Neodiprion lecontei: one gene and its partners. The main gene of each other region encodes a partner of the protein of the gene in region 2 in a complex. Links are inferred from orthologs where the notes say so. Each region holds a gene or a part of one and is shown on either strand. Other genes may lie near its edges. The genes, in order: eukaryotic translation initiation factor 3 subunit F, eukaryotic translation initiation factor 3 subunit I, eukaryotic translation initiation factor 3 subunit D and eukaryotic translation initiation factor 3 subunit B.

Region 1 (6,642 bases), on a different chromosome or scaffold from region 2:
TTATAAACGTTAGATTCCAATTTTCTCATAAAAATCAATAATTGTAGTTCGCTAGTTGGATAATTAGTAAGTTAATCCTATCGGCTCTACAATAACATTACTCATATATGGTTGCATCACGTTGATCCAAGGTTTGTTTCAATATATGTATACGAGAAAAAGTTTGGGCTTGTAACTTGTGATGAATGCGTCGTTTGTTTTATACGCATGTAACAAACACTGATTTTTACGAACCCGTTGATATTATAAACTAAAACAAAAAGTATAACCCAATTGTAAGTTTGACCCGATTATGCTACCTAAAACTGCCAATAAAAATCGATCAATCTCCGTATTTGCTATACGATTTCACACATTTTTGGAAAACTACATTGGTAATGTCATAAGTTACACTGTTTTGAATATTATCAAATCTGTCATCACGTTCGTGTTTGAATAGATTCAGAATACGATTGTAACAATGGTAGTTATTTAATAAAAACTATTGTATTAAAAATAAAACGTACATGCAAGTTTTATATCTGAAAAGTTTACGAAGTATCACCAGACATGTCGGAAATGTATGAGGTACACCATGGAGATAGTAAGAGTAATTGTTTTTGAAATGTTCATCCACATTTTTCTTGAGTATACCCAAGTTCTAGTGGACATTCCTAAGGTCAACTTCAAACACAAGTACACTGTTGGGTGGAATAGCTGGTGGTGAACCTTTTGCTCCATATCTAGAACAAGATAAATAATTTGATTGCTCATCAGTTTTAATGTTATGGAAATAGTCATCAGTCGTAAATATTGTGCTCGTAAGACGTAAGAGATTTGCTCACTAAAAGGTCTTCAAAGATTTCAGGAACAATTTAGTTCAGATAAATCACGAATAATGCAAGAACTAATACATATTGTAAAATATAAGTCATTCAAGTTTCAATGAACAGAAAAATCCTAAATTGTTACTTACGCCAAAGCTGGTGGGATTGTAATGCGTCTTTTCCCGCCAGTCTTCATTCCTACAATACCGATATCCCATCCTTGAATGACTTCATTTTTCCCTAGACGGAACTTGAATCCATCTCCCTGACTGCATGAATCAAATTTTTTCCCATTTTTAAACCGTCCTACATAATAAACTGAAACAAATTTTCCAGCCTTTGCCGGAGGGCCAGACCCAAGTGTTAAATCCTCTATTTGTACACCACCTTCAATTACTCGTTTTTTTTGTTCCTGCTTTGAAGCTTGGACTTGCTGTTCAAGTTTGTTTTTCTTTTGTTGTTTAGCTTGCTGTTTCTGATCTTGTTTGACATCTTTGCCGTTCAGTAATTTCTGCTTTTCTTGCTTTTTATTCTGTTGTTTTTGTGCTGGTTGTTGTTGTTGTTGTTGTTGTTGCTGCTGCTGCTTTTGTTGTTTTTGTTTCTTTGTGGTTGATGAGGGTTTGACTACTTCCTCCTCTTCCTCCTCTTCATCCCCCTCGTCGTCATCATCATCATCATCATCATCTTCATCCTCCTCCTCTTCCGCGTCCAGTAGCGCACTTTGCAGTTCATCTGAATCACTCCCATCATCTTCTTCATCTAGTTCATCATCGTCATCACCTTCGTCAGAAGACTGTTGTTCTCCCTCCTCCTTCAGACGTTTCAAATGATTCTGAGATTGTTTAATGGAATCTGTGGCCTTGCGTTTACTTGGTTTACCAATGAGCTGTGGAATGTCCTCCTCTTCTTCTTCTTCTTCTAGTTCATCATCTAGGTCATCTTCTTCTGGTACTAGATATCCTGTCAAATGTACAAGACCGCTACCATTGGAACTAAAGGCTATTTCGGTTCCTTCTTGAAAATTGAGATCCAACGGAACCTGCAGCGCAGCTCCTTTGTTCAGTGTGCATAAAAGAAAAGTCCGATTCTCGTAATGAAGCATTACTTGAACAACCCCAGTATACGAGCCTTGAATAAGAACCGCATGATTATAATAATTTGAAAAATTCATATTGGATTCGGTATCGAAACGAAAAATAGAAGATTCCTACCTCCAGTATTTGTGTCCAAGCTCGCCATGGACACGTGAAACGACCGTTCTACGGTTTGCGTGTACCGTTTATTCGGCTCTATAATTAAGCCTGAAACAAACATTAACATACTTTTAGGTGGTTATATTTATTGGTCATTTTTTAATTCGGAATGACGTTAGACGAGGAATTTCATCCTCGCGTATGGAGCTCTTAGCCCGCACGCTGTGATAATCTTTATTGGAGATCACATGGCGACGCCATTCTTGAAATAACCGGCAACTCAGATCTGCTCAGATCAGGGGTAACACATGGCACTTGTTGGTACTTACCCCAAAACATATTGGCTATTTTGACCTACAATAAACGTTGCAATAAATTTAATGAATCAACAATCGTTTTCACTACTTCAATAATATATCACCGAAAATAAAAGAAACGCATGCACAGTTGATCAACGGTTTCCCGGTGCTCGGAGTTAGATCCTACTCGCGCCAAGATGTGATTGAACCGGCGGTAAAGGAACAGGCCATGAACGATTGAAGAGACTAGATAGGAATTGGTCATCATTTTTTTCATCTGGTACGATGAGTTCATGTTGATTCCTCGAGAGGCAGTACCAACGGTACCCTGATGAAATGAAAACCAAATCCAGTTTTTTCATCTGTAATGATCAACAAAACTTATTTTACAATATACAGAAATATTGACCATGCTGATGAAACATTTTTTTGGCAATTTTCGCATCACAACTTCAGTATTGTTTCAAATGAGGGCAGCTATTTTGCGGGCAAAACAACATTAATCACCGGACGTAAATGAGAACGAGAAAAGTGAGACACAACAGTTCACAACTGTAATTGACTAGAGGTAGCAGGATTCAGTGTTTGGGTTTACGATCTAACAGCGTTATTGTAATTATAGCCAACGTCTCTTGACCACTTTTGACCAACTTTGACGCACCAAAAATGGCGCTTAACCTCATTGTCAAGGTGCACCCAGTTGTTTTATTTCAAATAGTCGATGCCTACGAGCGACGTAATGCGGATACTCACCGTGTCATCGGAACCCTGCTTGGTAACAAAGAAACACAGAATAAACTTTCGACTACTCGTACGGTTTCTCAGAAATTGTGATAGCGGATAGACGAATGAACGTCGGACGTCACCTTCTACATGTCACATGTTTCCATATTATCAATCCTTTTAAACATTATAATTTATTAACGTCACGTCTACTGCAAATGTGAAATTTCAGCGAAATCTAAAAAGAATTGAATTCCCTAAAAATTTCTATACTTTTTCCTTGCAATTAGTACTCAAATTGTCATGTAAGTTCAGGTATTGTCTCGACAGAACGTATTTATCATGATTTTTCATAGGGACGGTGGAGAAGGGCATTGTTGAAGTAACAAATTGCTTCTGCGTACCTCACAAGGAATATGCAGATCAGGTCGAAGCCGAGCTGAACTACGCAATGGATCTGTACGACTTAAATCACCGAGTAAATGCCCAAGAAAGCATAGTGGGTTGGTGGGCTACTGGAAAAGAGGTACAGATGTCAAGAGTTGTGGTACTTTGCTTCCCATCTCAAATATATTTACAAGATGATAATAATATCCAAACAGTGAATGTGTTGGCTAATTTAATCAGACTTGAAAAGTATGCTCTTGATTTTAGCAACATATGTTTATTCATCAAGTTTTTTTCCTTGTGATCCAGGTTACCAATCACTCATCTGTCATCCATGAGTATTATGCCCGAGAATGCAATAATCCAGTTCATTTAACTCTGGACACAACAATGGCCAACACTACTAGAATGGGTATCAAGGCATACGTATGCGTCCAATTGGGTGTGCCAAATGGCAAGCAGGGTTGTATGTTTACACCTGTCAGAGTTCAGGTAAAAAAAAAATTTATGCAACTAGTAATTTAGCAATAATAGGTCAAGGTTTTATGAATTTTTACTTGTACTATGTTTCTGTGAAAAAACTAATTTTCATTATTCATCTCTTGGAGTCTATAATACTATATTGTGTTAGAAGTGAGTAATTGTGAAGTTTGCACCCCGAACAACAAAGGCGAGTGCTGCAGTTGCAGGAATACTAGTGCAAATGCAGCATGAGCCAAGGCGAGCACTGTAATAATATGATTAAGCAAATTTTTCCAATACCTGTAAAGGAAGTTCGATTTAAGAAGCACCAAATGAGCCACTCATAGCATATCAAATTGTGATTATAGAACATACGCTTAATGCAAGACACTGCATTGAGCAACGATTGAGTTGGTCGAAAGTACGCGTGTGCCCAAGAAATCCCTAGTATTTGCGCAAAAATAGTTTCATCACACTGTTCAAAATTGGGACACTTTACGTATGCCCCATAGGCTTCAAAAATTTAACCTGCCAAGTAGGTGTCGAAAAAATTCTTGTCTCACCTTTTTCAGGTACAGCTGCTGGTAGTTGCTCTGTTTGGAGTGGTAATAACTTGTACTTTTACTTACAACAGGTCACTTCTTATGAACCTGAGATCGTAGGGCTACAACTATGCGCTAAAACACAAACTTTACCTCCGGGTCAAGCACTTTCAAAGCAGGGGGGAGTAGAACCAATGTTAGACCTGGCACAAATAGCAGAAGCTAGCACTAAACTACTGACTTTGGTAGACCAAGTCCTCAATTACGTAGATGATGTTTTGGCAGGCAAACAAATTGCTGATAATCAGGTAACAAATTGACGTAGATAGCAGTAGGAATGAAAATAATTCAAAATGTACTGGGCAATATTTCACTTTCTATAACAAGAAATTTGGATGACCTTTGTACATGTTCGCAAGTACTGTACAATCAAGTATTGAAAATAAACAATTGAATAAAATAACATAAAATTACAGGTTGGGCGAGCCCTGTTAGATATGGTACATTCGGTACCTAAAATGTCAGCTGATCAGTTCGACCAAATGTTTAACAGCAATGTCAAGGACCTCCTCATGGTTGTTGCTCTTTCCCAGTTAATCAAAACTCAACTACAGCTGAACGAGAAGCTCACCCTTCTGACTACCTTATGAGCCAAAACTAAGCTCACCAAATAAACAGCACCAAGTAAAGCTAAGAGTAATGTATGGCTCCAATAAAAATCTGTAAAAACAAACTGATGTAACTAAATTGCTTAATCTAGTTTTTTATACATATATACATAACACATATATTTTACAAAACATCACAGTAGAAGATTCTTGAACGTTTGAAACTGTGCTTATTTCTACCATAGCTTCCAAACGTCGGAGGTCGTAGTTTGCAGAAAACCGTCTTGTGTTTTGTTTTATCACACAATGTTTTGTACAATTTGCTAATATTGAACCATAGTATATTTGTACGACCAAAATTACAAACTTTTCAAATCTTGCATATACGTTAAACCACATTATCACGCCTTGGAGCTTGTATTTTTTTTATATCTCTTTGTGACTGTATAGAACAAGGGCAATTTTAAAATCCTGGAAATATCGATATTGGTTATGGATTTAATCCAGTAAGTAAGTTTGTAAAAACACTTTCATATATCATCCACTAACTCTCTTTCAGAATTTCAGTATAACCTAATGTTGTCAGTAATTTGATTACTGTGAATTGTACCGTGCTTCTTCATTAGGCCTGATCAGGGAAAATCTAGATTCAATCGACAGGAAGGAGGAAACTACCAGTCCGCATTGAGTGCACTTCTGTTGAATTCTCAATTTTTTGTTTATTTACTTAAGATTCAACTCGATTAACGATGACAAATTCAACTAGAACAATTCAAAAAATTTTGCGAGTACCAAATACTGCGAATAATCCTACGTAAGTTTTCCATAGCTAGGGTATTTAAAATATGTGATAAACATTTTTTGTGAGTGTCCAGAAATTTAATCAGATTAAAGTTACAAATATCAAAGATCTTTTCATTAGCTGTATTATCGCATAATGATTTGTTCTTGGTTCTCCAAACAATTATTGATAATTGCTAAGCTGAACAGCATTCGATTTAACTTTCCAAAATATCCATTAATTTAACCTGTCAGCCAACTGATGAAGCGCAGATAATTTACTGACACAAATAGCACTAATCATAGCAGGAGAATACGATTCCATTTTTCATTTAAAAATACTTTTTTCCTACTATAAGCAAACGTTAGGGCAGTCAAGATGATAAAACTCCGAGAAATTTTGCCTGGTTTCATTATAAGTGAATTGCAAATTTCGTACTGAAATCGGGATGTTTGTTGCAACACATTTAAGACGAAGTATGTAATTTCATACAATCCCTTGTTCGCTCATAATGAAGCATCTGCGACAAAGTTGTTTACATCCAATAAATTGAACTTAGTCAGGGAAGCGCTTATGCTGAACAGAGGGTCAATTCGCTTATGGCGGACCCGCTTATACCGAAAAAGTACTGTATCATGGAGAAATAAAGTAGATCAAAATTCATCTTTTTATGATATCACAAAATCTTTCCAGCACAAATGGTAAGAAAAATTGTCTAGTATTACACTTTTCGGACCAACGACACTTGCGATTGATTGGTAATAAAGACTGAAGTACTTAAGAAAGAATGCCTTTGACTGTAAATGAGGGAATAGTTTCAACAACATTTCTGAGACTATCG
Region 2 (7,738 bases):
TCTACCTGTCGCAATACAAGTACACATTTTTGATAAACTGGTTGTAAATTCCTAAGGGGATGTGAAAACTCGAGTTTGTAGATCAGGTGTCACATTCTTGACAGTACCTTGTCTTATGTTCAGTTTGTCTTCAGCAGCTCTCAATTTTTCTTCGAAACGATCTAAGTCGCCTACCGTCATTAGGTGTGTAACGTTTCCAATCTTACGGCCTTTAATTACAGCGTCTGGGTGTAAGATTATAATTACCATGTCTATTTGAGGTCGAAGTATCAACTCTTTCACTTCACCTTTGGAGAGCATGTGATGGAGAAAATCATTCCAGGACACGTACACAATCTGCTAGACAAGTTATTCAAGTTATGTGCTTCAGGTTTTACATATTTAGCATTTTCATATACATTACATATCTCGTATAATGACAAGGTTCAGACTGGTAACATTAACATAATAAAACATTCTGAACAAAATAGCTGTTTTCCAACTTCAGATTGACTTTGAAGGACATGAGTTTTCAAAATATGTATTTTTTCCTTTACTATGCTTCACGAAATTCCAGACAAATGTAAAATCGTAAATTTATATTTTTGTCATAAGAGTGCATTGTTACATTAATGCTACAAACCTTGTCATTGTATAAACAGGGTCGTTCGTGACTATTGTCCCATAGGCTGCCAAGCAACAATGTATTCCTTGTTAAAATCGATAACTAAAAATTGGGTTGCAATGCTAAGAAATTCTTCGGTTTCGAATAAAAGCCATTCGATCAACCAACTTGGTAGCATCAGAATTGATTACCACACACAGGGATGATAAACCGGGATACTACGCAGCGTAGTGATGAAATAACGATCCACCAGTCCCGTTCTGGGTCATTAAAAGCTTCCAGATTGGTCAATTTCAAACAGCTGTAATTCGCGTATAGAAAATTTTTTATAGAAATGCAATAGACGTTTCAGTTGCAGATTGCTACGAGAAATACGTTGGTAGTTTATAAGACTGTACTCCAGGACCACCCTGTAGTTTCGGCAAGAATTGAACCATGGGATCTGCATATACACTCACCTCCCGTTGACTATTATTCGGTGTTAGCATGGTCACCAAGCTGACAATCAGCCAGAAAAATGTAAGCCACATTAAATACTTGGGAACAAGACCAGAAACTTTTTCATTGTCATTTTTATTCGGATTATCTCCTGAGCTTTGAGATGAGGGCTCTCCAGCACGGCCGCCACTCGCCGCCTTATTGCTATTGTTCGTACCTGTGGTACAGAAGCATCTGGCATTATAAAAGCAGCGTAGTTTTGAATCACTATCGAATCCGCTGCGTCGTAACACGGTATAAATGGCGCATACCTCCTTATGCATTCGCATACGCATTTGACCCTAAAAAATAATTACAGTCATTTCATCGTTCTCCCACATCCTCAAATATTGCATCTTAAAAGAATTGCTGAATACTGAATTTGATCTATTTATTTCTCATAACTATCGATATGAGACTAGGAAAATACAAGTCGGGCATATTATATGATTTTCTTACCTGAAACGACAGGCATTGTGAGATTCGAAGGGCGCGATTCAGGACTAGTCTGAAATTAGGTCTACTCAGTACCGACTCGTATTTTCCCGCAACAGTTGACGCCAACTTAAAAATGTCATTCACCGAAGGTAAATATCGTTTCGGACATTTAATAACGCGCTGCATATTCTCCAATTTAGTTTTACAATCACTGTGACCACGAGTATGCTATGCAATGCATGAGAATAGGTTAGGGCCCGGATTGTAATCGAACACGGGCATACATATATTTATGTTACATAAAGGACAAAACTACAACAGACACTTGATCACGCGCGACGAATCTTTTAATATTTCACAAATGAGAAAGTGATTGATAATCCGCTTATACGACTCCTTACGTAAATCTCAAGATAAACTTTATTTTAAGAAACATTCTCATATTTGTGGCTATGCTGAAGCCCGAATAATCCGCAGACGACAAACCATTTGAAGGATATCAATCTGGGGTGTATTCCGAAATCACGGTCTTAAATACAGGTCTTGCAACGAAGGTAGTGGGGGTGGCTCATTTCACGGGCGCTGATTTATCTCACTTTGCGGTCGCCAGGCCGGCGTTGTGATCGAGGGATGGATAATCAACGCGTGCGCAATGCAGCGCCAACCTAATAATTATATTATTATTGTTGTTATTACAAGTAATGAATTGTTATGAATGAAAGTAGTTAATATAAATATTAGTGTGATATAATTATTATGAATGATATATGTATGGAGACTAGAGGCAAAGAGTATCATTACAGTATGACGCACGCGCTGATTTTAGGTTATATGCTTCATTTCAAATATAATTTCCATGGCACATTTTCATCCCTACCCCACGTACATCCCTAGATAACAGCGCCGCGACATGGTTATTTCGAACACTTAAAACACGGACAACAAGAGAACCACGCCGCTCTGTAAAAAATTGGCTTCGTTGCAAGACCTGTATGTAAGACCGTGCCCAGGCCGCAGTAGTCGCAGTCAACAACGTCACAAATTTCATGACGTCACTGACTGGCGGCAGTAAGCTGTCGCGCGATTTCAGAATGCAGTTGCCAGTACTTGCAGTACTGCGGGTATATTTCGGAATACACCCATAGGCCTCCTTACCTCTACCCTCCATAAAGTCAACGTATTAGATTGTTCACAGCTTCGAATTAAGGGCACAAGCTGCACGAAGTTTTGCGACGGTTTCAGCATTCATCAAGAATAGTTGAGCAATATGAGGACTTTTATAACGAAAGAGTTTCCATCTACCCAATGAGGTCGGCCATCTTCTACAATATCTAGCCAATGCTGGGTCATTTCGTTGACGGTTTGTGGCTCTACTCATCTCTTTCTGCCGTTCGGCCAGGGCGCGTGTGAGACGTTCAGCTGGTGCACTAGTCGATTTTGTGGCAATTTTGGAGCGCTGATGCGATATTAGTTTAGATAAAATGGTAAGTTTCTGTTCTTAAAATAAATCTGTTCTATCATTATGCCAGATCATACCTCCCCTACGCGTGCACACACATAAACACGTGTGAAAATTTGCCTTCCCGTGCCTAACCTCAAGTTGACACTGCAAGATATCGATTCAAGTACCTATATATCTTCGGTCAACGTTAGAGGAGGCTTCTTGTGAAATGATGTGTGTTTCATATCAGACGTGGTTATATTGAATGTGTCTTTTCGAATCTTCGGATTCCATTGTTTGTGATTGCATTGTGTTTTAGAAACCTCTCATGCTTCATGGGCATGAACGTGCCATTACCAAGATCAAGTACAACAGGGAGGGTGACCTCTTGTTCTCTGCAAGTAAGGACAAGAAGCCTAATGTCTGGTACTCCCTCAATGGAGAACGCCTTGGAACTTTCAACGGTCATAATGGTTCTGTATGGTGCATCGACGTTAATTGGGATACTACTAGATTCTTATCTGGAAGTGGTGACAATACTTTATGTGTATGGGATTGTCAGACTGGTTAGTTACCTCTTATCGTTCTATTCCAACAGACTCGTACCATATCTATATGATGAAGGTGATGTGAAACTGGTCATTGCTGGATTTGTAGTATTCTAACCAGTGAAAGTATTTGAATTTTATCCTAGAGGAGCTGCGATAATTTTGTCGATCTCTGTCTGTTGGAAAACTAATACACTTGCAAATTTAAGATGTTACTGAACCTAGCAGGTGATAACTGCGAGCATCATGAACAAATCAATAATATATAATCAAATATCCTTTATAATCTGTTGAATTGATACAATGATTTGAGACATGAATGTGAAATTTTTCCAATTTCTTTGTCTGACTTAGTTTTACCTACTAATTCCGGCAACATGAAGTCGAGCAAATTGGTTTAATTAATCTAAAACATGTAAACTTATGCTATTTTGAGATAGGTTGAATTTCACGCAACAACGATTCTCTGTATTTTTCTCGATTCAGGAAAAGTTGTTGGTCAATTGGAAACAAATAGTTCGGTGAGGACATGTAGCTTTAGTTATTCCGGGAATCTTGCTGTCTATTCAACCGATAAAGCTTTGGGATACCAATGTGAAATGTTCATTATCGATGCACGAGACGTCGTTTCCAAATCATCACAAGAGAATGCCATACGACGAATACCTATCAACGGCCCCCGAATCTCTGCTATTCTTTGGGGTGCTCTTGATGAAACCATCATCACTGGGCATGAAGATGGTGAGATTAATCTCTGGGATATGAGGGTGAGTTGTGATTCACATGACACAAATATTAATCTTGAATTAAATTACAATTCCTCAGTTTACTTTATTTGTAATATATTCACAGACTGGGAAAAAACTTAATTCTATTAAAAGTCACAAGAATCAGATCAACGATATGCAAACCAATAAGGATGGGACCATGTTTGTGACAGCATGTAAGGATCATACGGCCAAATTGTTTGATAGCGAATCTCTGGTGTGCTTGAAAACTTATAAAACCGAGAGACCGGTCAATTCCGCAACAATATCCCCAATTTTGGATCATGTGAGTACGCAATTTTATATAATGTCTTGAGCAGGTGCAGCAGCATTTTAATACTTTCCTGAATATTGTACAAGATTAAACATTTTTTATAATACCCGAAAAGTAACGATATTACCATTCTGACACTTGAGAGAAGGTCGGAGCACTCCCTTTTTTTCTGCTAACTTTAGGGGAATAGTTTACGATTGTTGACAAGTGTGTCGACAACATAGGTGACATTAAATAAGGTGGTGCAAGCCACTTACAAATGAGATTGTGATAATACCTCAATTCCTTCTGTATCGATGCAGTACTTTTGCTTCAGTTGCGAGCATACTTAGCAAAGTGTTGTCCCGATCGTAGCTACTTAGAAATTGCATACCTTATGTCTAAGTAGCACTAACTGGTGATCTTATTTTTTTGGCCCTACTAAAACTTGACACTGACTACAGAACATTCTGCCTTTTAGTACACTTCTATGTGTGGACTAAGGTATGCACAGTATTCCTATGTTATATTACAAAAAAATGCAAAAATGTACATATTATGTACACCCAGTGAAGTCGATTTGGAATCCCTCTAATTTTAGCAGCTCAAATATAAGGTTGGCAGCTCTAGTGCCCAACTTACGCCTATTAAATAACATGCGGTATCTGTTGGATGAACCGTAGCAATTAGTTAGAAGCTGCCAGAGCCAACCCTATTTCTGACCCGCTTAAACCAGGAGGTTCAGAATCGACTTCACTAGTGTGTAAGATTCAAATTTTAAATGTCGTTCAATTGAATATACTCCTGATTTGTCGTTTGACTTGTCAGCGATTTTGGGAATGAAATAAAATTTTTATTAAAATTAAACGATTGGAAATTTGATGCCATGCAGCTTGGACAATTTTCTACTCAAAATGCAACTCTTTGGTTACAAACTGAAAAAAAAATCGTTCACGTAATATCCAAATTTAGGAGGCGTGGTTAATTTTTTTATTATATACTACTCACTAAACATCCATTACAAATGACTTGATCAAGTTATAACAATTCGTATTTAGTGAGTTGGCAGAAAAAGCAAACTCCCTGTAAATATGCAAATTTGTAGAAAAATGACTGACTGATTCTTTTTATGTGAAATTGTCGGCAAGACATGTAAAATTACATCCGTACGTAGTGTGGTTGTGTAAAATGCGAATGTAACAGATCGTACCTATATCCATTTTCAGGTGGTACTGGGTGGTGGCCAGGATGCCATGGACGTGACCACGACATCGGCTCGTCATGGAAAATTTGATTCACGATTTTTCCATTTGGTATTTGAGGAAGAATTCGCTCGACTCAAAGGCCATTTTGGCCCTATCAATTCTTTAGCCTTTCATCCTAATGGACGGAGTTATTCTACAGGCGGAGAAGATGGATATATTCGTATCAATACATTTGACCAATCTTACTTCGATTTTCATTTTGAATATTAATCAATAATTGTACTACCATTGTACTAATATATATCGAATCTAAAAATTTTACACAGCACGTGCTCTTCATTTATTCCGCGTAATGTTTCCTCAATATTTCGAATCATTTTTCGGAAAGATAAAAACCATGAAGGAGGATGTGAGACGTTTCCAAGGAAATGCCTGTATCAAGTTATCGGTGTCAGATATGTTGCTTAATTTTTCTGTACGTACCAAATTGTCATATTGCATGAATTTTTTTTTTCGTTTGCTTGCATCTGATACACTGACAGATTAAAATTCGTTAATTTTGCATGTCACATATCTGTATACCTATGTGAAATTTCAAGGAATAAGGATACAATGGTAAAGTGGAAAATGAAATTGGCAACAATTGCAACATAAAATACGGTTTTAATATCTATGTTAGTATGATTTATTATTGAAAGTAAAAATCGTCTCGTAGAAAATATGGCTGATGATTATTGTATAAAAAATATTGGACAGAAGGTAACTTCGGAATTTATCACTATTCTCAAATAAGGATACATACCTATGAGAAGTAGAAACCATCATATATACCAAGTATAACTATATGCCAAAAATAAAAAGATGAAGAAAATATAGCGCAAGAATCAAATATGAATTTTCATATCACTGGTTTGGTCTGAAGTCCTAATTTATTTTGCTCTCAATAACATTTCAATATCGTTCCTGATTTGAATGCCGACAATGGATTCCCTTCACTTATTTATCATAGCAAACTAAAAACTTGGCAATATTTTTCAAGGTTGAGTGTCCCATGATAATAGCACTTCTATGTATACGTAGATGTATTTGAAATTTAATTTATTGTAGCCCAGTCTTTTGGTTGAAGCTTGGGCCTAAACTTGACTGATACTCGGTAGCGTAATCAGTGAGAAAAACATTTGCATCAGGATTGGACTGATTTACTCAGTTTATACCTATGCTCAAAGTATAAAAAACAAAAACGAGTAGACTTGACAAACACAATACAACTTATTATTACGCATAATTCATTATCAAATCGGTAGGCCTTATTTGGAAGTTTGGCGACCTCAAATGGTCTGTGTGGTATGCAAATATCAAACTACTTGTTTGAGGTAGGGTAGCTGGCAAGTAACATTGAAAGTATTTCAGCTTATAGTTTGTACCGGAAATTAGTTTTGACCAAATATTGTACTTGAACTTGGGCCACATCATATACAATATATTCGTTGTACAAAAGAGAAGTTGACTTTGAAAGCTTAGCTGGTACTGGCTTTCCGTATGGCACCTGAACTCCATCACTTGTAATGTGAAAATCGTCTGGGTCTGGTTGAGTCTGACCCAGACCCAATGTAGAATGTTTACCTTTTGGTAATTTTTCAACGTAATCCGCTGCGTGTCGCTCATAGGTATTGCCCAGAGCTACCTCGCACAGTAGCAACAATCCAGTCGGATTTTGTCGGTTAGTGCAGCAATAGTTGGCTGATTTTGACACCATATCAGCAAAGTATATACCTTTACCAAACATGTAACCGGTGACAGGTGCTTCAGGTGGCGCAATTCTCAAACCCTGGGACAGTATACCGACGAAATTTGTAGTTCTCGATCCATGCCATAAGAGCTTTTTATTTGGTAGCTTCTTAAATGGCTTGTAACGCTTGTCCTCGCCTTTACGTTTTACCACGAATACTTGATCTATCTCCAGCTCGTAATGAGAATGAGTTGATGCGTGGGTATTCTTTACATA
Region 3 (6,679 bases), about 38 Mb from region 2:
ATCATCTATTATCCAGATGGTGTTATAGTACATATAGCGATCAATGATGTATAATAGCAATTAAACACCAAAACTGAAATAATTCATCATTTGCAGAACGGCTACTTACATTTCTCAGTTGGCTGATGCGCTCAAGTACTGTCACAGTAAGAAAGTTATTCATAGGGACATTAAGCCTGAAAATTTGTTGCTTGGAAGTAAAGGAGAATTGAAAATTGCTGATTTTGGATGGTCGGTTCACGCACCTGGGTCCAAAAGAGAAACTCTGTGTGGAACTTTAGACTATTTACCACCAGAAATGGTCCTAGGTGCGACACACGACCACACTGTAGATGTATGGGGAGTTGGTGTACTCTGCTATGAATGTCTGGTTGGCAAACCCCCATTTCTCGCTACAACATACAAAGACACCTACAACAAGATCAAAGAAGCTGATTATAGATGTCCTTCCTACGTCAGCGACGGAGCCCGAAATCTCATTTCTCAGGTGAACATGAATGAGATATAATGACAGCACTTTTTAAACCATTAATTCATAATATGTATCATCAAAGCCTTGTTTTCAATTTTAATCTCTTGATTTGCAAAGTTTCACCTTCATTTTTTTCTTTTGTAGCTACTGGTTGTGAATCCTGAACATCGATTATCGTTAGCCGGCATTTTAAACCATCCCTGGATTGTATCTAACCGAACCATGGAACCAACGAAACAATGAGATTTGCAAATAAATAAATTGTGATGCGATGAATCATTCATCTTTTAATTAATATTATTTTGACGGTATAATGTTTAAGTATCAAAGATGCATAATTTAAATTTGAGATATCTAGTTTTCTAGCACACAGTTAGAATTATTAATGCAACTAATTTCAGATTTCAAATTAAAGGTACTTGATCGTTAATTATATGATACATTTTATCATTATATTAATATTGTTACTCCACACGTACATGCGAAGTTGATAAATCATTTGAAAAAATACATGTTCATTCCTAGATAAGGTGCCTGTGTATTGATTAGTTCCTCCCATCTTTAGTGAATAATTTTGTAAGCGGTGAGCCACATGATTGATAAAAATGTTCATTTAGTCTGTTTATGATCTTTTTATTATTTCTTTACGAAACCTTGGCCCTTACAAAGGAATACAAATGATTAAATTCGTACACAGATTACTGAATCGATTCAGACACAATTTAAAGATATTGAATTACAACAGGTTGGTGAAATTGTGGCACAACTATCAGAGACAGATCAAATGATAATTAGTGACAAAGATTTGTTACACTTTCCAATTAACTCTGAAAAGCGTCATTTCCTGGTTCATCATCATCTTCATCCTCTTCACCCTCACTCTCGAAAGTATTGTCGGGAATATCATAAAGCCGAATCATAGGCTTATTCGGATCTTTCATGATCAAGAATTTCCCGTCTTTTTGCTTCATGCAAATATCAATGATGCAACGCAGAATACCCCATGCGTTGTCCATGTTCAGATTAATTTGCGTCGCGAACTCATTCGGCTTGTACTGCTGTGTTCCCAGGATAACGTGCTTACTAGAATCGCGTACCATGGCACGAGAAACGTACCCGAATTTCAACTGATCAGATCCTGCGAGCAGAGCCTGTACCGTCCACTTGGCGAGCTTGCAGGCATTGTTTCTGAGCTCATTAGCCAAAACTGCACCCCGCTGAGTGTCCAATTTCTGTCTCCATTCAACACCATTAGCAAGTTTAGAATCCCACTCGTTCAAGGCCTTGATAGTTAAGAACTGCAGTTCGTTGTTTGGTCCTTGCATGACAGCATCATGTTCGCAACGGCATATGAGCACAACGCCATTATTCAAGTCCCATTTCCTGTAACGGTAAGCAACGCTGGCAACATCACCTTCCTCTTCTTCAGAGATGAACGGATTACCTTCTTCAAACTTGTATCTCGGTTCGTTTGATTTAAGAACTTGCTGGGAGAAGTTGTGGTTGATAAAAGTAGCTTCAAGAGCTAAATTCCGTGGAGAATTGAGAGAATTGCCGTCATCTTGGGGAGGTTCGACACTTGTTTCGTTTACTGTCAAAAGATCGAATTCTGTATTGTCTCTCTTGTCAAAGAACAGCTTGTCTCCAATCTTTTCAATGACAATGTCCCACGAGTAATTGCTGCGGGTGCAGCACATGATTGTAGCCAAAATAGCATCAGTTGCGTATACAGTGCCCTCTGTCTTGGACAATTTACGAATTATCGGGTCGTCCGTAGTCGTGACAGTATGGAATATACGGTCGATACGCTGCAGTGGTTTTTCATTCTTGACGTTAACTCTGTCGTAAGCTTTGTCGTAATACTCCAAAGACCCGCAGCAAAGTATGTCCTCGACATCCTTGACGCCAGGCAAAGAGAGCTTGGTCAATCTTGGGAAGTCCATCTCCTCAATGGTGACCCAGTCAGGCCTGACAGTAACAGAAGCATCACGGATTTTGATCGGTGGCTGATTCTTATGGTTTCTAAAGCCTTGCTGGCGACCCCAGCGCTTGGGCTGTCCCTTTCGATCGCGTTCTCTGAGCTTAATCCTTCCTAGCTGCTGCATCTGACTAACTCCGCCTCGCTGTCCACCACGACCTCTCATGTTACGCTGATTCTGGCGGAATCTACCACGTTGGTACGGAGGCTTCTGCACTCTGGTTGTGTCCACCAAATGGAAAGTAGACTCATCCTCCTCGTGATAATAGGCGTACTGGCTGCCAGAGCCAAACTGAGACGCATATTTGTCTAAATTAGGGCGAACGAATCGTAATTAATTTCAAATAATCGTGGAGGCTAGCCTAGAAAGTAAAGTGTTTCCGAAGACTCAGAATTCACGGTTTCATCATTTATTACTTTCATTTAATTGAATAATACTTCAAACACGAATAAATGGAAAATATCTGTAGATCCGAAAAGGAAATGTTAGGTTAAAGTGAGCAGTGACGTGGTGGCTGTCAACTTACTAGTGAACTTTTTATCCTGAAAGGCGGCTCCGGTCCAGTCCGATATCTGGGAGATAGGGAGGAGAAATGAGTAACAATTTTTGAGTAGTAAATTTCGCGAGGTAAAGCATATGCCGACAAACCTTGCCGAGCCTGTCGCCCTTCGAGAACGGTTGATAGGGTATATCCTTGAATTGATCCGGCATTTCGCACGGACCCCATCCCGTAGAGTTGTTTTGTACAGCCGGTGCGACAAAGTGAGGTACCTTGTCGATCTTCTTCACATCGTCTTCCACCTGTCCGCCTTCCTCGCTCATTATTGCAGACGCGATTTAACCAGGCATGTATGAAAATGGGAACACACGCGAGACAGCCGCGTCTGTTCCGGAAACAGTGTAGCGGCCGGAAGACCGTGCTGTGCCCAAACGATGGTGGCGACGTCGCGGCGTCGTCGGTACGAACCTCTGACGCCGATCGATATGAAATGAGACGATACGTCAAAATCAAAAAGCGGTTACTCGGAGTTTATCACTCGACAATCAAGGCCTCTGGTTAGTGAAAATTATCAAGCAAGCGCATGAAGATGCTTAAGGATCACGAACTCTTCGTACTACTGTGTGAAAAACGCGGCCTCAAACCACCTTCCGATGTCTTAGAAGCTATCAAAAATGCTAGGTAAGTCGCATCTTGTTGCATCCGACACGACGTCGGTAAGTGCCGCTATTTCTCTTACCGGCGGTGACCGCAGCAAGCTTCGGCGCCACGTTTGCATGGAATTAATTCATTTCCAGGTGTTTTAATCGCCAGGTTCGGATTTTCTGGGCCGCTACTCAGCAGGGCCCGCGCCTGAATATATATTTTTTTACTTTTCATGAATTTCAATTGGATAAAAGTACTTTGACGGATCACTTACCAACGATTCAATACTTCACTCGATTACTCGACAAACCGAAATTATCTTATGCCAGCGAAACTTGAATTTCGACTTGAACTTTTCTGTATAATTCTCAATAACCTTTATTCAAATTTTCCTGCTACAGCATTATAACGATTGTCTCGAATCTTCCGACGGTTTGAATATAAACATCAATGGAACCTGACGAACATTCGCGACGAAAATACACTACGCTCCTTATTGCAATAATTATTATTTGAAATAATATATAACCATACTTTTTTTGATTTCAGTGCAACCGGAGAGCTCCAGCTTTCCCGCGTTTCAATACTGGTACCGATCTGCGAAGTAATTGCTCAAGTATTGATGTCTAGTTCAGCAATAAAGCGGATGGACCTGAGCGACTGCATGCTAAATCTGTCGAAGAGTCTCAGTTGTATTTTAAACGCTCTGTGCGAGGGCTCGAACATGACGTCGCTGAATTTGAAAGGAAACAACATCCACGGTCCGACTGTTGCCCAGCTAGGACAAGTACTCGTTCACAACAATACGCTGAAGTTGTTAAACGTCGAATGGAACAGCTTGGGTTCACACGTTGATTCGTTTACCAAATTTTGCGACGGTTTAACTAAAAATCACAACATAGAGGAATTGGATTTACGTTATAATCAGATATCCCCGTATTGCGCCGAGGCGTTGTGCAAAGTTTTGAGATTGAACAAGTCTTTGAAAGTTCTCGACCTCGCGTGGAACACTATCGGTCTTCAGGGAGGGCAGCTCCTCCTAACCGGAATGCAAGAGAACAAAAACATAGTGAAATTAAATCTGCACGGGAATTGTATACCCGCGGATATAGTGCACTTGATAGAAGAGCGAACCCGTAGCAATCAGAGTCGAAGAATGATTTCTGTAACAAGCATGACCAAAGAAATCGAAAAAGCCAAATCGTTTCTGCAGGTGACAGATAATAAAGAGAAGATCGTCTCGTTCACGGACAGCGACAGCACAATTCAGAGCCGTCTGAAATACAGGAGAAAAAAGAAAAAACGCGTCGAATTATTTAAAAAAGAAATTCCCAGCGGCATGACCGATGATTCGATGGAAAAAACTAGTAACGAATCGGACACGAATTCTCTGACAAACCTGCTCGTTCCCGCGGAGGAAAATTTGAAAAGAGATGAGCCACGGAACGATATTTCCGGGGACGATTCCAGGAAGAATAATAAAATATGCTCGAGTTCCGCCGATGCTGCGACGAATAAAATAAAAGAACTCAATCAGATATTGCAGGACCGTACGACCGCGATAAATCTCTTGACGAACGAAGTCGGGGTCAAAGCTGCTGAAATCGAAGCTGTGAGGTCGCAAATCGATCAACTGCGGACAGAACTGGAACGGGTGAAAGAAGAACGCGATAAACTAACCGGTGAAAAAACAAGAGAGATTCTTGACTTAAAGGAAAATCACAAGGAAATTGAGGAGGGTTGGAAAAAGGTTCACAAAGAACTGGAAGATGCGTACCACAAAGCGTTGTTGCATAAAAAAGAATACGAGGTAAGGATCCGCCGGTATGAGAGGGACATACACAGGAGTTCGTTGGAAATATCATCGCTGAAGGAGAAAATCATTTCGATTACACAAACTTACGAGGATCTAGTATTAAAGGATAAAACAGAGATGCACAGACTGAGAAGAGAGATTAAAGAGCGTGAGAGCAGACACAAAAACGAGATAAGCATTGTTAAGAATACCTTGAGAGACACGACGCAAGCTTTAGAAGACTGCCAGATGCAGTTACAAAAGAGTAGGAGCGAACTCAGGGACGTTACGGAATCTCAGTTGACTTTGAAGGCGAAAATCAATGAGATGGAGCACCTAAACGTGAGGTACTCACGGTCAGAGGAGTCCTTACATAGAGTTAAAGAAGAGAAAGAAAATCTGGAGGAAAAGATAGAGGAAAGCCAACGCACAGTGAGCAGTTTACAGCGTCAAGTCGTCGCACTTCAAAGCGAACTCGTCGAGCCTCAACGACGGTATGAATTGCTCAACGATGAGCTGATCCAAGAGAAGGAAAAGACCAGTAGACTTAAAGAGGAATTGGCGGAAGAACGGGAACGGGCCAAGGAACAAAGTATTCAAATTCAAAAAATGACCTTGCAGATAACTGCCTTGAACACGCAAATCAATGACATACGATCTAGTCACGCGGACACGCTCAGGGAAAGAGATAAGGAAAGAACACAGCTCAAAGATATCATTGCCATGAAGGAACGCGAGATTAACGATCTAAAGTCAGTACCACCTTGATCACCTCTGAATATTATCGACAAAGTCAGTCGTGCTCATCGCACACCACAATTGTCTGAGCAAAAATTAACATGAATACTCAACGTTAATTAATCATACATGCTAATATCAATACGCAATTAAACCCTTGACTGTCGGTGACACACGCATGGGCAAAAAAAGGTCGTGCCACTTTTGTGGCATGGCACATATTTGGGCATTCGAATAAACAACATGTTTTTACTACATCGATTTCATTTCAAAGTCGCTGAATTATAGGATAAATCCATGACGTTTTATTTCCAACACACAAGTGGCACGAAAATCTCATTTTCGCCTGACTCCTAAGGGGTTAATTGCAACCTAGAAGATAATAGTGTAGAAATTAGAATTTAGCATTTTTACAGTGTACCTTTACCTTGAATCTATTTTAACGATGACATACTTGTTTCTTTCAGAGCTGAAGAAGTCCAAAGAGCTGGTCAGCTTTACGCGGCATTCAGTAAATACCTCGGATCCAGAGGACCAAATCCAGTTTTATG
Region 4 (9,247 bases), on a different chromosome or scaffold from region 2:
TCATAAATTCGATAAAAAGGAAAAAAGGATTAAAAATCAACCGACAATGCTCATCTTTCGCCAGAATTTTTGTTTCTACCTAAACTATTTCGGGTGTGGCTCGTTGGAAAATCGTAAATTTTTTTATTTTGAAACACCCTATTATACATATAATATATGTATAGTAAAAATGAAATAAATTTTAGCTCAAAATATACTCTCTCATTTCTTATGCATAAAAATTAATTTCCACTTGGACTAAGCAACTCGGAGAAATTGCAGCGAAAAATCACTCCTGGTATTAGGAGAACATCTGAGCCGAGGAGCTCGATCAAAGGCACGCCTTATTCCTGAAAGCCCGTGTCGCATACGTATAAGCGTGGTTGCCTATGATTAGGCGCTTCCACTTGAACTGAGCAACACGGAGAAATTGCAGCGAAAAATTACTCCTGGTATTAGGAGAACATCTGAGCCGAGGAGCTTGATCAAAGGCACGCCTTATTCCTGAAAGCCCGTGTCGCATACGTATAAGCGTGGTTGCCTATGATTAGGCGCTACCACTTGGACTAAGCAACTCGGAGAAATTGCAGCGAAAAATTACTCCTGGTATTAGGAGAACATCTCAGCCGAGGAGCTTGATCAAAGGCACGCCTTATTCCTGAAAGCCCGTGTCGCATACGTATAAACGTGGTTGCCAATGATTAGGCGCTACCACTTGGACTAAGCAACTCGGAGAAATTGCAGCCAAAAATTACTCCTGGTATCAGGAGAACATCTGAGCCGAGGAGCTTGATCGAAGGCGCGCCTTATGCTTGAAAGCCCGTGTCACATACGTACCGTTCTGGTTGCCTATGATTAGGCGCTCCCACTTGGTTCAATTAGATCGGAGAAATAGCAGCGAAAAATTACTCCTGGTATTAGGAGAACATCTGAGCCGAGGAGCCTGATCGAAGGCACGCCTTACGCCTGATGGCCGTGTCGCGTACATGTAAGTTTGGTTGCCTATAATTAGGCGCTTCCCTTTGGACTAAGCAAATACACTAGAAGGCTATTATTTTCCTTTTTTATTTTCATCATTATTCTTATGATTGTATAATACATAGAGATCTAAGGATCATTGAGCTATAACATAATATATAATACATAAACTTTAAAATCAAGACCTTTTTCTCAACTTATGTACCTCCAAACTATACATTATGCATAATAATTAATACATTCGTTAGCATATATGTAGATATATAGTAAGAACATAACTTTACACATTTTCGTCTTTATGACTCTTTCTGTATGTTATTGCTTTTCGAAGATTCCCGTTCCATATAATAGCAACCGATGCTTGTTATAATAGTAAAGTTGATAATAATTTGAACAGAATGGATATTATGCCAAGAAGAAAAAGAACAAATATATGATTTCTGTTTTGAAAAATCATCTGCAGAATTCTATACACAGTGGAAAACCAACAATTGATGAAATATAAAAACCCCAGATTAAATGCATGACGCGTATTTTTTCAACAACCAAACTGCCGGCAAGAGCATCTGCACAAAAACCAGTCTTTTTTAAATATAATTAACCTACTATAAATAAATAAACTAAACCTACCTTCCGAAGGCAATTCCGCTGATTCGCAAGTGTGAGCTGTGAGGAAAGGAATGGGGTTTCAGTTTTGACGCAGTCACAGATTCCTCGTCGTGATGATTCCCTTACTTCGTCTTCGACGATACTCTATAGAAAAGTATTCATAAAACAATGTTCGATTTCAAATGGCTTTCCGAAAGGGTATTATTAGATAAATAAAAATAGTCTGTGTGACTTAAAAAAAATGGACAGTGTGACAATCATTGTAGCAGTTACAAGTATTACAGACTATTCTATAAGGTATGTGATAGAATTTGATTGTACTACGTTTGCCGCGTTCTTTACGTGGTGTAAAATCATCGAGGAAAAATGACACGATGATACAGAAATAATAAAATACAAATTCTACGCAATTGCTATAATAGTTAAAGACCATCAATGATGCTTTATAATGGAAATGATGCCACTTGCAGCGTGGTTCACCTCCGTTCCAGAGTTAGTAGGTACAATACACCATGAAATCCAACAATTTAACGGTCTTACACAGAGGTTTCCAAGTCTGGCAAGACCAAATTATTTCAATTCTTAGGATACTTTCTTAGTCGATGACGAATGTCTCTTCTTTGATGAAAAACTCGATCGATTCCTCCTCAACATTCTTCGTATCTGAGTCCAGCTCATCCGTGTCGATATCTAGAAGGAAAAACACGAAATTAATACGTCATTCAATATAGGAAAATACTAGCAGATCAATATAAATTATTTTCCATCTTTACTTTTGACTACGGTAATACATACTGTTGCGTAGTTCAAGGCGACGCTTCTTTTGGCTGTTCCATTCTTCGATACGTTTTGATCGATATTCTTCGAATTCTTTCATCAGTGTACAACGCTTTTCGATCAATTCCTGGAAAAAGAAAGGTAGAAATCATTTCAAGGATATGGGTAGTTTTTAAATGTCACAATAGAAAAAAAGAACTATACGAATAAATGTAAAGTCACTATTTGATCACAAATATTCCGTATCGGAATAGGAAAATATTACCTTCGAGGCGCGAGTTAGTCTCATGCGATCTTTGCTTTCGAATTGTGCCGAATACTTCTTCAGATTTTTTTGAATTTCCTTGATTTGCTTGGCGGTCAAAAGCGTCGCTGGCCTTGGACGCCATAGAAGCTGATTGAACGCAGTCAAATTAACTCTCTTCAAAATACGACCTTGGAACGACCAAATCCAATATCCGTTGTCGACGCTTGTCTTCCAGCTCGACACTCCAGTCACAACGTATCTAAAAGCAGCCGTATTTCATTTTTGATTGGGGTCATTTAGTCACGTCCTTTTAGTTCTATGCTTCATTTCTAAGCTTACTTTAAAACTAAATTTTGCCAAAGTAAAGAGATTGAAGTAAACTTCACAATCAGTAAAAGATCTTTGATTTAACAGTGATACGAATAATAATAATAATAAGAATTCTACTAAATAACATGTAACGAAAACGAAGCCCGCATTAAATACATAACGAGAGAATAAATAAAAAGAATGATAAAGAATAAACGAAGCTAAATACCGTCCGGTAGGATCCCACTCAACGTCAGAGGTCTGGTAGTGATCAGTGGTGTTCATTATAGTAAAATCGTTGGTATCAATAAACTCCAAGGCACCAGCCATGGTGGTAAGACCAGCAAGTACAATGAACTGGCCAGCAGGAGACCAGAACAGGTGATTGCACGCCTTCTTCTCGAGTTTCTCTAAACAAGAGTTAGAAAAAATTAAAAACTTTGCCTTTTAATTCTAAGACATCAGTAAAAGTCATTACAAGACTGAAGAACACATGTTTGTTCTATGAACTGATATACATATCTTCAGAGATGTACAACACACTTTTTCGTCTTATTTAGTTGGATATAATTACTTTTCTGAAATATTGAAACTGGATTGAAAAGCTTACTGAGAAGATCAGGATGCAGTCCAGGGCGTACTCCATAGAAGCTGACGTTTACGCTGGGTATTTCACCGTGAATGATAGCGAATTTGCTACCCACTGGTTCCCAGGCGAATGCGTGAATCGGTTCCTTCATTTCAACGCTATCAACCGGTATCTGCTTCTCTCGCATGTGGAATATCTCAAAGTTGTACGACATTCCCTGAAAATAAATCAAATGGAGAAATTAAATACCGATGCTATACTATAATTTAGGCAACTGGGAGGAGTTGAACGAGCTTTTACTACTTGCGATACTTACAGTGTATTTTTGTTCAGTTTTTTCTTTCCTCTTCGCAAAACGATCCACCTTGACACAGAGGTAGTCACCACATTTTTGCCAGTGAATTTTACAGTCGGCGACATTGAATAGATTTTTGTTACGAATTTCGTTGCGGCTGTAACGGGAAAAAGAGAAACACTCATGAACTCCGCGAATCGGTATAGGAACAAAACATAAGTTCTTTGGTTGTTAACCAACAAATGGAAGCAGCATTTCAATTCTGACTATGAACTCTGTGCTGTACCTGGGAATTTCCAAAAGTGTGACTCTGGCTGGGACATCTTTATCTTCCGGCACCCAGTAGGCTAGAACATTATCAGTGGGCGACCAGCTGAAGTCTCTGATTCCTGGTATCTTGATGCTCTTTTTGTTGAGTAGTCGAAATGACTAAAAAATCGAATAAATGCAAATGCTTAAAAGCGAATAGACCATAGTTGAACATCCGCACGAAACAAAATTGACCATCTGATGAAAAAAAATCTAACATTGGTATGCAAAAGGATAAAAAAAAAAAAAAAAAATAGTAGAAAAAAAACTTACAGGAGTTTCGTAGATGCTGAGTACATCTTCGCCCATGCGAGCGAGATATTTGTCGTCGTGTGACCAGCGGAAAATGGGCCACACCGAGGACCCGTCAGGATTAAAATCCCGTTTTTCTTGACCGGAGAGAATATCCCAGACAACAAGCCGCTTCTGATCAACGCTGCTCTCAGCCCTGGGTGAATATGAGACAAGATAACGTTCGCAAGGTGAAAAGTCAACGCACTCAACTCCGCGTTGACCAAACTTTGCCGTCTGCTCGAACTTCGGACCACCCCACAACGCGACTCCTGGCTTGTGGAAAGTAGCTATGTACGTGCCCAATGGAGACCACTTGACGTATGTATCTGTCCATCGCTGAAAAGGTTTAGAAAAGGGGAATACACCATGTTTATTTCGACTTGCACATTAATCTAGTCAAACTGTGAAAAACTGTTACCGGTCGGTCTTCCAGCAGCGTCGGTTCAGGTGCAGAATTTTGCCATATCTGAACACAAACCGCCATTCCATTGCCAGAGAGAACGCAGAATTGGTCGTACGCATCAGGATCAAGGAGATAGTAGTGAAGGTCACCACTCGATGTATACGGCTGGGGCTTTGGCGGTTCCCACTCATCCGGTGTATCCTCAAACTTTTTGAAATCCGTGAACAAATTCACCTTAAATGTGTGCATCTTGTCGAGCTTGTAATTGTTTGTCGACTTGACAGCAGCTAATGCGTTCACCGGACTTTTGTATTCCAAGAATATGTACCTGTGATACCAGTGTTAATTAACAAAACAACCAAAGTAGTGAAAAATTGAAGCTTCGTACTAATAATTACAAAACAAGTGACAAGTTGTTTCTGTTTTTCTGCTAGGTTAGCATTGTTGAATTAAAATTTATGGTCTTATGATCTTTACCCTTTGGTCAAGCCATCTTCGTTCTTGGGATACCACTGGTTGACAATGTCTCCAAACTTTTCAAACAGCTTGCTGATCACCATTTGGAGTTTTTCTAAACGCTCGGGTCCAACTTGCGGAACACCGTCGACGACAATGACAGCTTCAACCCCATCGGTCTCAGACGGTTTCTGCCTAATGAGCTCGCCAAGTAGTTCTAGGAAAAGGAATAAAAGATTAATAGAAATATAGCAGACCCGATTTAGAATTAAAAGGCGAATCGGAGATTGGTGTCGAGTAATATTCAGAGACTGTTATGAATGCAAAATGGTATCTTGAATGGGTGCCAATACAAAATTTGGAAGGTTAATTGACGCTCAAGTACAGAGTTGAACCGTGTCACGTATAAAGGAAAAATATCACGCCAAAGTTCGGAGGTTAAAATGCTAAAACCGGCGAATAAATTGAAAAAGCTATTGAGACTGTACGGAAGATTGTCGAGATCCCGAGACGGGATGGTTAGATTTAGGAGACGGTGTGCATATGTGATAACTTTCGTGCCACGCCATGCTACCTATGCCATGCCGTGACCGAGCCCCGAGGGGTGATAGGGATGACACGAGTGACGCGCATGTGAAATGTAAGAGTAGAAATACCTTCGTCGGTTACATCGTCGACGAATCCCTCGGGATCGCTGAAGTTTGGCTCGTTATCCCCGTTGATATTCTCATCGTCGTTTTTACCTGGATCATCGTTATGCGGCGTTTTATCCGCCTCCCGTTTCTTTGCCATCTTGGAAACCTCTTACTAAAGCAAACTGAAGCGTCTGAAAGTGGCCGCAGAAGACGTATATCAACGCTTCCGTCTGACTGATTCGATCTATCGCAACTCAACTGCGCACATGCGATATATCGAATGAAGCGATTCAACTCGATGCTTTTGCTAACACCTTCGAGTCGTCTGCTTTATCCACCCAATAGAATCAACCAGCCTGTAGATAGGCAATTTCTATTACATTTTGTGATCCACATCAACGTTGATATTTAACATAATTTTCTGTCTTATCAGTTACAATGCTAAAGCGGAGTTTATTTGACTTTCTGTACATTCGTCACAAAAAATTCTACTTTGAAATAATTCATTGAATTTATTACATCGCCGGAAAATTTACCCTTAATTCATTCAATTAAGTAGTATGTTTTCTTTATTTTTCATTGCACGGGGAAACGTTTTAATTGTACACTCAATTTTTATGGATTTCAAGCATTGTGAATAGTGTGAATAGTCAATTGAAATAAGGATAGAAATAGGAACGGATCTGTCGAATTATTGTGAAAAAAGGCAGAAAATCATTTCACAGTTGTAAATGCGACAATTTAATACATATAACACATTCTAACGAAGAAGTTAAACTAGAGGACCTTGTATTATCGGAAAATGTGTCTTCGGACTATGGAATTTTGAATACATCACTTTAGCGACTGCACGTGATTGGTGATGTGAAAAGTGTCAAGTGTGAGAGTATATTATCTATACATAAAAAACGTAATTGTTCAGTGTATCGCATTCCAACAGTTGCCGAAAACATTTCCGTACAATAGCTAACTAATTTCATTTACAAATATTTCTACATTTATTACACAGTTCAAAATATTCTCTACACTGTCTGCCCATGTTTTTTAAACCTATTCGCAGTAAAATATACACCGTGAAAGAATCGTTTCTTCTTTTGATTGCCTCAACTTTTTTAACTTGTCAAGTTATGTACCGAAAATCGAATCATTGTCGTGATAAGAATGAAATAATTTTTATTTCGTATTGATACAGACGGGGAGTAGAAGATATGAATCTACTCGGTAAACATTTGAGAAATAATTTTCCAGAATTATTCCCAGCCAATTACAAAGTAGCGCCAAGGAGATTCTTAAATATTTCGTAGAGTTGTTCGAAAAAAAAAGATTGGTTAGTTTGTTACTTCAGTTCCGTTCGTTGAGCGGCAGCCGATTGAGTTCCAGCGTAAAGGCGACGATGTCGGGATTCTTGGACGAAGTAGATATACCCAGAAAAGAACTTTCAATCAACGATACATTGTTTGCGATTAGTTTGCTGATCCACTAATAAATCTGAAAACAACGATACTTTTCAACCCCAAACAGTTTTCAACGTGTTTGCGGTTCAACGGAAATGTTTGGCTCATGAACATAAAACTTGGACTTAGAAGAACCAGAAACAATTAACTGCATATCTGATGTTAATGACAGTGAAACTTTCGTAATTCCAGGTGTATCAACGATGTCCAAGAGAAGAGTCGTGGCTAACAATCATAACAATCAGGAACATCTTGTAGAAGTGTCAAAATACATCCATGGTCCAGAGTTACCAAGTGTAAGTGAACGGCATGGACTCGAGGACAATGTTGACATGGATATGTCGCGGGTTAAAAAAGGAGTATTTGGTTGCCTGGTACAAACGGGGGTACAGTCACAAAGTCAATATTCATTTGGGATGCTCTCCTCTGCGGGACATGATCCATAATTTCCAGTGAGTCAAAGTGGAAGTCCAAGTGGTCGATCTTCCAAGTTTTCGCCAAACATCTGTAAAAATTTATTTAAGGGTGAAATAATTGTATACCTATTAAACGTGTCTGCATCGAAACTTTACAGAAAAATCGAAAAGGATAGTTCCGATAAAATAAATAGAATTTTATGAACTACATTATTTGTCTGAGTCTGTAATCAAAAATTTTCAAATCCGCGAAAATCTATCTTACAGAATTTCAAAATTCAGAAGGCTAGAATGCAGATAACTCAAAATATAGTCTACATTCGAAAACAGATTTTTGCGAATTTGAAAATTCGCTATTGCAAGCCTTCTATTTTCTAATCTTTGTAAATTTTCATTTTTACCTTATGAAATTGTTATTTGCATACGCAACAATAGAGCAAAAACTGGCAATAAAAAAAAATCTTAGGAAAGGAGTTTCTTCAGTTCCAGTGTTCAGTTAGATTAATTCTAAACTCTGATAATGTTTTCTAAAATCTAAGGGTAAAAAAGTAAAAGTGACAAAATCCAAAAGAACATGACTAAAAACGATCTCATAGGCAAAAAAATAACTAAAAGTTGATATAGTGACGCAATAGCAGCCCAGTTAAGTTCCAGTATGACCTGTTAATACGTGCAGAAAGACATTACAAATTGCATTTCCATAAGGCAGTTAAATGTTTGGTACTTTGTAAATAGCACACATATGCTACTTGTGTCATATGATTACCGGGTTTTGAGTTTAAATCGAATCAACTCGGGTGTATTTAATTCATGAATAAATATTTGAGTTGAAAAATAAACGCACTGAAAATAGATAGAATTTAAAACTGTCCGTTCGAGACAAAATTTTTAGAGTCTATAGTGACAACGATCGGTTGCGCGGAAGGATCTCTCACAGTATGAGAAAAATTTTCGTGACAAATATTTCAGCGCGGTTTAACGATTTTTTAATTTTTTCATATTCTTCTAAGCATTTTCTTTTCTGACACACTTCAAGTCTATCCGCGATCAAATGCTACAAGTAAAAAAATCGTTTCTTATTCTAATCGCCACGATGCTATCAGCTAGTCACGTTTTAACTCTGAAAGCTGAGTATTGCTACGCTCACAATGATAATCCATACTTGAATATGGGCACGAAAACTGCTTACCACTTTATTCACGGCGGTGAAAGACCATACGAAACGATACCAAGTAAGTTACGTTACTTTATGTTACTCCATTATCCTGTATCCCGAACTAATGTTTAACGGTTCAAGAAAAATGAAATAATTGAATTACTTTTAAGACGTTTTGATACTTGAATCTAAAATGTGTCACGCGCGTAGTACGTTATCGAATAACATCGTGTTTGTTCCTACATATCTATCGATTGATCATGGCCTCGAATTATTTCACGCCGGCGAATTGCTTCACAAGTTCTTCATTGCCAACTGTGCAAACAGTAGGAACAACCTTG

Evidence for each region.
Region 1: eukaryotic translation initiation factor 3 subunit I (region 2) and eukaryotic translation initiation factor 3 subunit F share a complex: the UniProt entries of both Drosophila melanogaster proteins name them as parts of the eukaryotic translation initiation factor 3 (eIF-3) complex. The link is inferred for Neodiprion lecontei from reciprocal best matches to the Drosophila melanogaster genes eIF3i and eIF3f1.
Region 3: eukaryotic translation initiation factor 3 subunit I (region 2) and eukaryotic translation initiation factor 3 subunit D share a complex: the UniProt entries of both Drosophila melanogaster proteins name them as parts of the eukaryotic translation initiation factor 3 (eIF-3) complex. The link is inferred for Neodiprion lecontei from reciprocal best matches to the Drosophila melanogaster genes eIF3i and eIF3d1.
Region 4: eukaryotic translation initiation factor 3 subunit I (region 2) and eukaryotic translation initiation factor 3 subunit B share a complex: the UniProt entries of both Drosophila melanogaster proteins name them as parts of the eukaryotic translation initiation factor 3 (eIF-3) complex. The link is inferred for Neodiprion lecontei from reciprocal best matches to the Drosophila melanogaster genes eIF3i and eIF3b.

Annotation. Positions count from the first base shown.
Region 1 is NC_060265.1:19,771,917-19,778,558, reverse strand, and holds eukaryotic translation initiation factor 3 subunit F, read left to right. Parts: upstream 1-2,912; 5' UTR 2,913-2,964; coding exon 2,965-3,073; intron 3,074-3,377; coding exon 3,378-3,547; intron 3,548-3,717; coding exon 3,718-3,900; intron 3,901-4,504; coding exon 4,505-4,720; intron 4,721-4,888; coding exon 4,889-5,062; 3' UTR 5,063-5,145; downstream 5,146-6,642. Other genes in the region: 46 kDa FK506-binding nuclear protein, read right to left, coding at 641-722, 956-1,934, 2,018-2,107, 2,329-2,338; uncharacterized protein LOC107226989, read right to left, coding at 6,579-6,642. UniProt on the Drosophila melanogaster protein: Component of the eukaryotic translation initiation factor 3 (eIF-3) complex, which is involved in protein synthesis of a specialized repertoire of mRNAs and, together with other initiation factors, stimulates binding of mRNA and methionyl-tRNAi to the 40S ribosome.
Region 2 is NC_060261.1:375,803-383,540, reverse strand, and holds eukaryotic translation initiation factor 3 subunit I, read left to right. Parts: upstream 1-2,605; 5' UTR 2,606-3,000; coding exon 3,001-3,003; intron 3,004-3,279; coding exon 3,280-3,526; intron 3,527-3,994; coding exon 3,995-4,275; intron 4,276-4,360; coding exon 4,361-4,561; intron 4,562-5,754; coding exon 5,755-6,003; 3' UTR 6,004-6,054; downstream 6,055-7,738. Other genes in the region: poly [ADP-ribose] polymerase, read right to left, coding at 108-339, 1,063-1,383, 1,541-1,747, 7,148-7,738. UniProt on the Drosophila melanogaster protein: Component of the eukaryotic translation initiation factor 3 (eIF-3) complex, which is involved in protein synthesis of a specialized repertoire of mRNAs and, together with other initiation factors, stimulates binding of mRNA and methionyl-tRNAi to the 40S ribosome.
Region 3 is NC_060261.1:37,935,305-37,941,983, forward strand, and holds eukaryotic translation initiation factor 3 subunit D, read right to left. Parts: upstream 3,376-6,679; 5' UTR 3,274-3,375; coding exon 3,100-3,273; intron 3,024-3,099; coding exon 2,978-3,023; intron 2,760-2,977; coding exon 1,294-2,759; 3' UTR 1,085-1,293; downstream 1-1,084. Other genes in the region: aurora kinase C, read left to right, coding at 97-487, 617-715; leucine-rich repeat-containing protein 45-like, read left to right, coding at 3,534-3,631, 4,145-6,142, 6,596-6,679. UniProt on the Drosophila melanogaster protein: mRNA cap-binding component of the eukaryotic translation initiation factor 3 (eIF-3) complex, which is involved in protein synthesis of a specialized repertoire of mRNAs and, together with other initiation factors, stimulates binding of mRNA and methionyl-tRNAi to the 40S ribosome.
Region 4 is NC_060266.1:1,379,431-1,388,677, forward strand, and holds eukaryotic translation initiation factor 3 subunit B, read right to left. Parts: upstream 6,097-9,247; 5' UTR 6,038-6,096; coding exon 5,902-6,037; intron 5,463-5,901; coding exon 5,267-5,462; intron 5,118-5,266; coding exon 4,805-5,117; intron 4,723-4,804; coding exon 4,366-4,722; intron 4,213-4,365; coding exon 4,070-4,212; intron 3,941-4,069; coding exon 3,805-3,940; intron 3,706-3,804; coding exon 3,510-3,705; intron 3,310-3,509; coding exon 3,129-3,309; intron 2,850-3,128; coding exon 2,609-2,849; intron 2,471-2,608; coding exon 2,362-2,470; intron 2,257-2,361; coding exon 2,162-2,256; exon of another isoform or gene 1,967-2,161; intron 1,711-1,966; 3' UTR 1,029-1,710; downstream 1-1,028. Other genes in the region: multiple inositol polyphosphate phosphatase 1-like, read left to right, coding at 8,802-8,982. UniProt on the Drosophila melanogaster protein: RNA-binding component of the eukaryotic translation initiation factor 3 (eIF-3) complex, which is involved in protein synthesis of a specialized repertoire of mRNAs and, together with other initiation factors, stimulates binding of mRNA and methionyl-tRNAi to the 40S ribosome.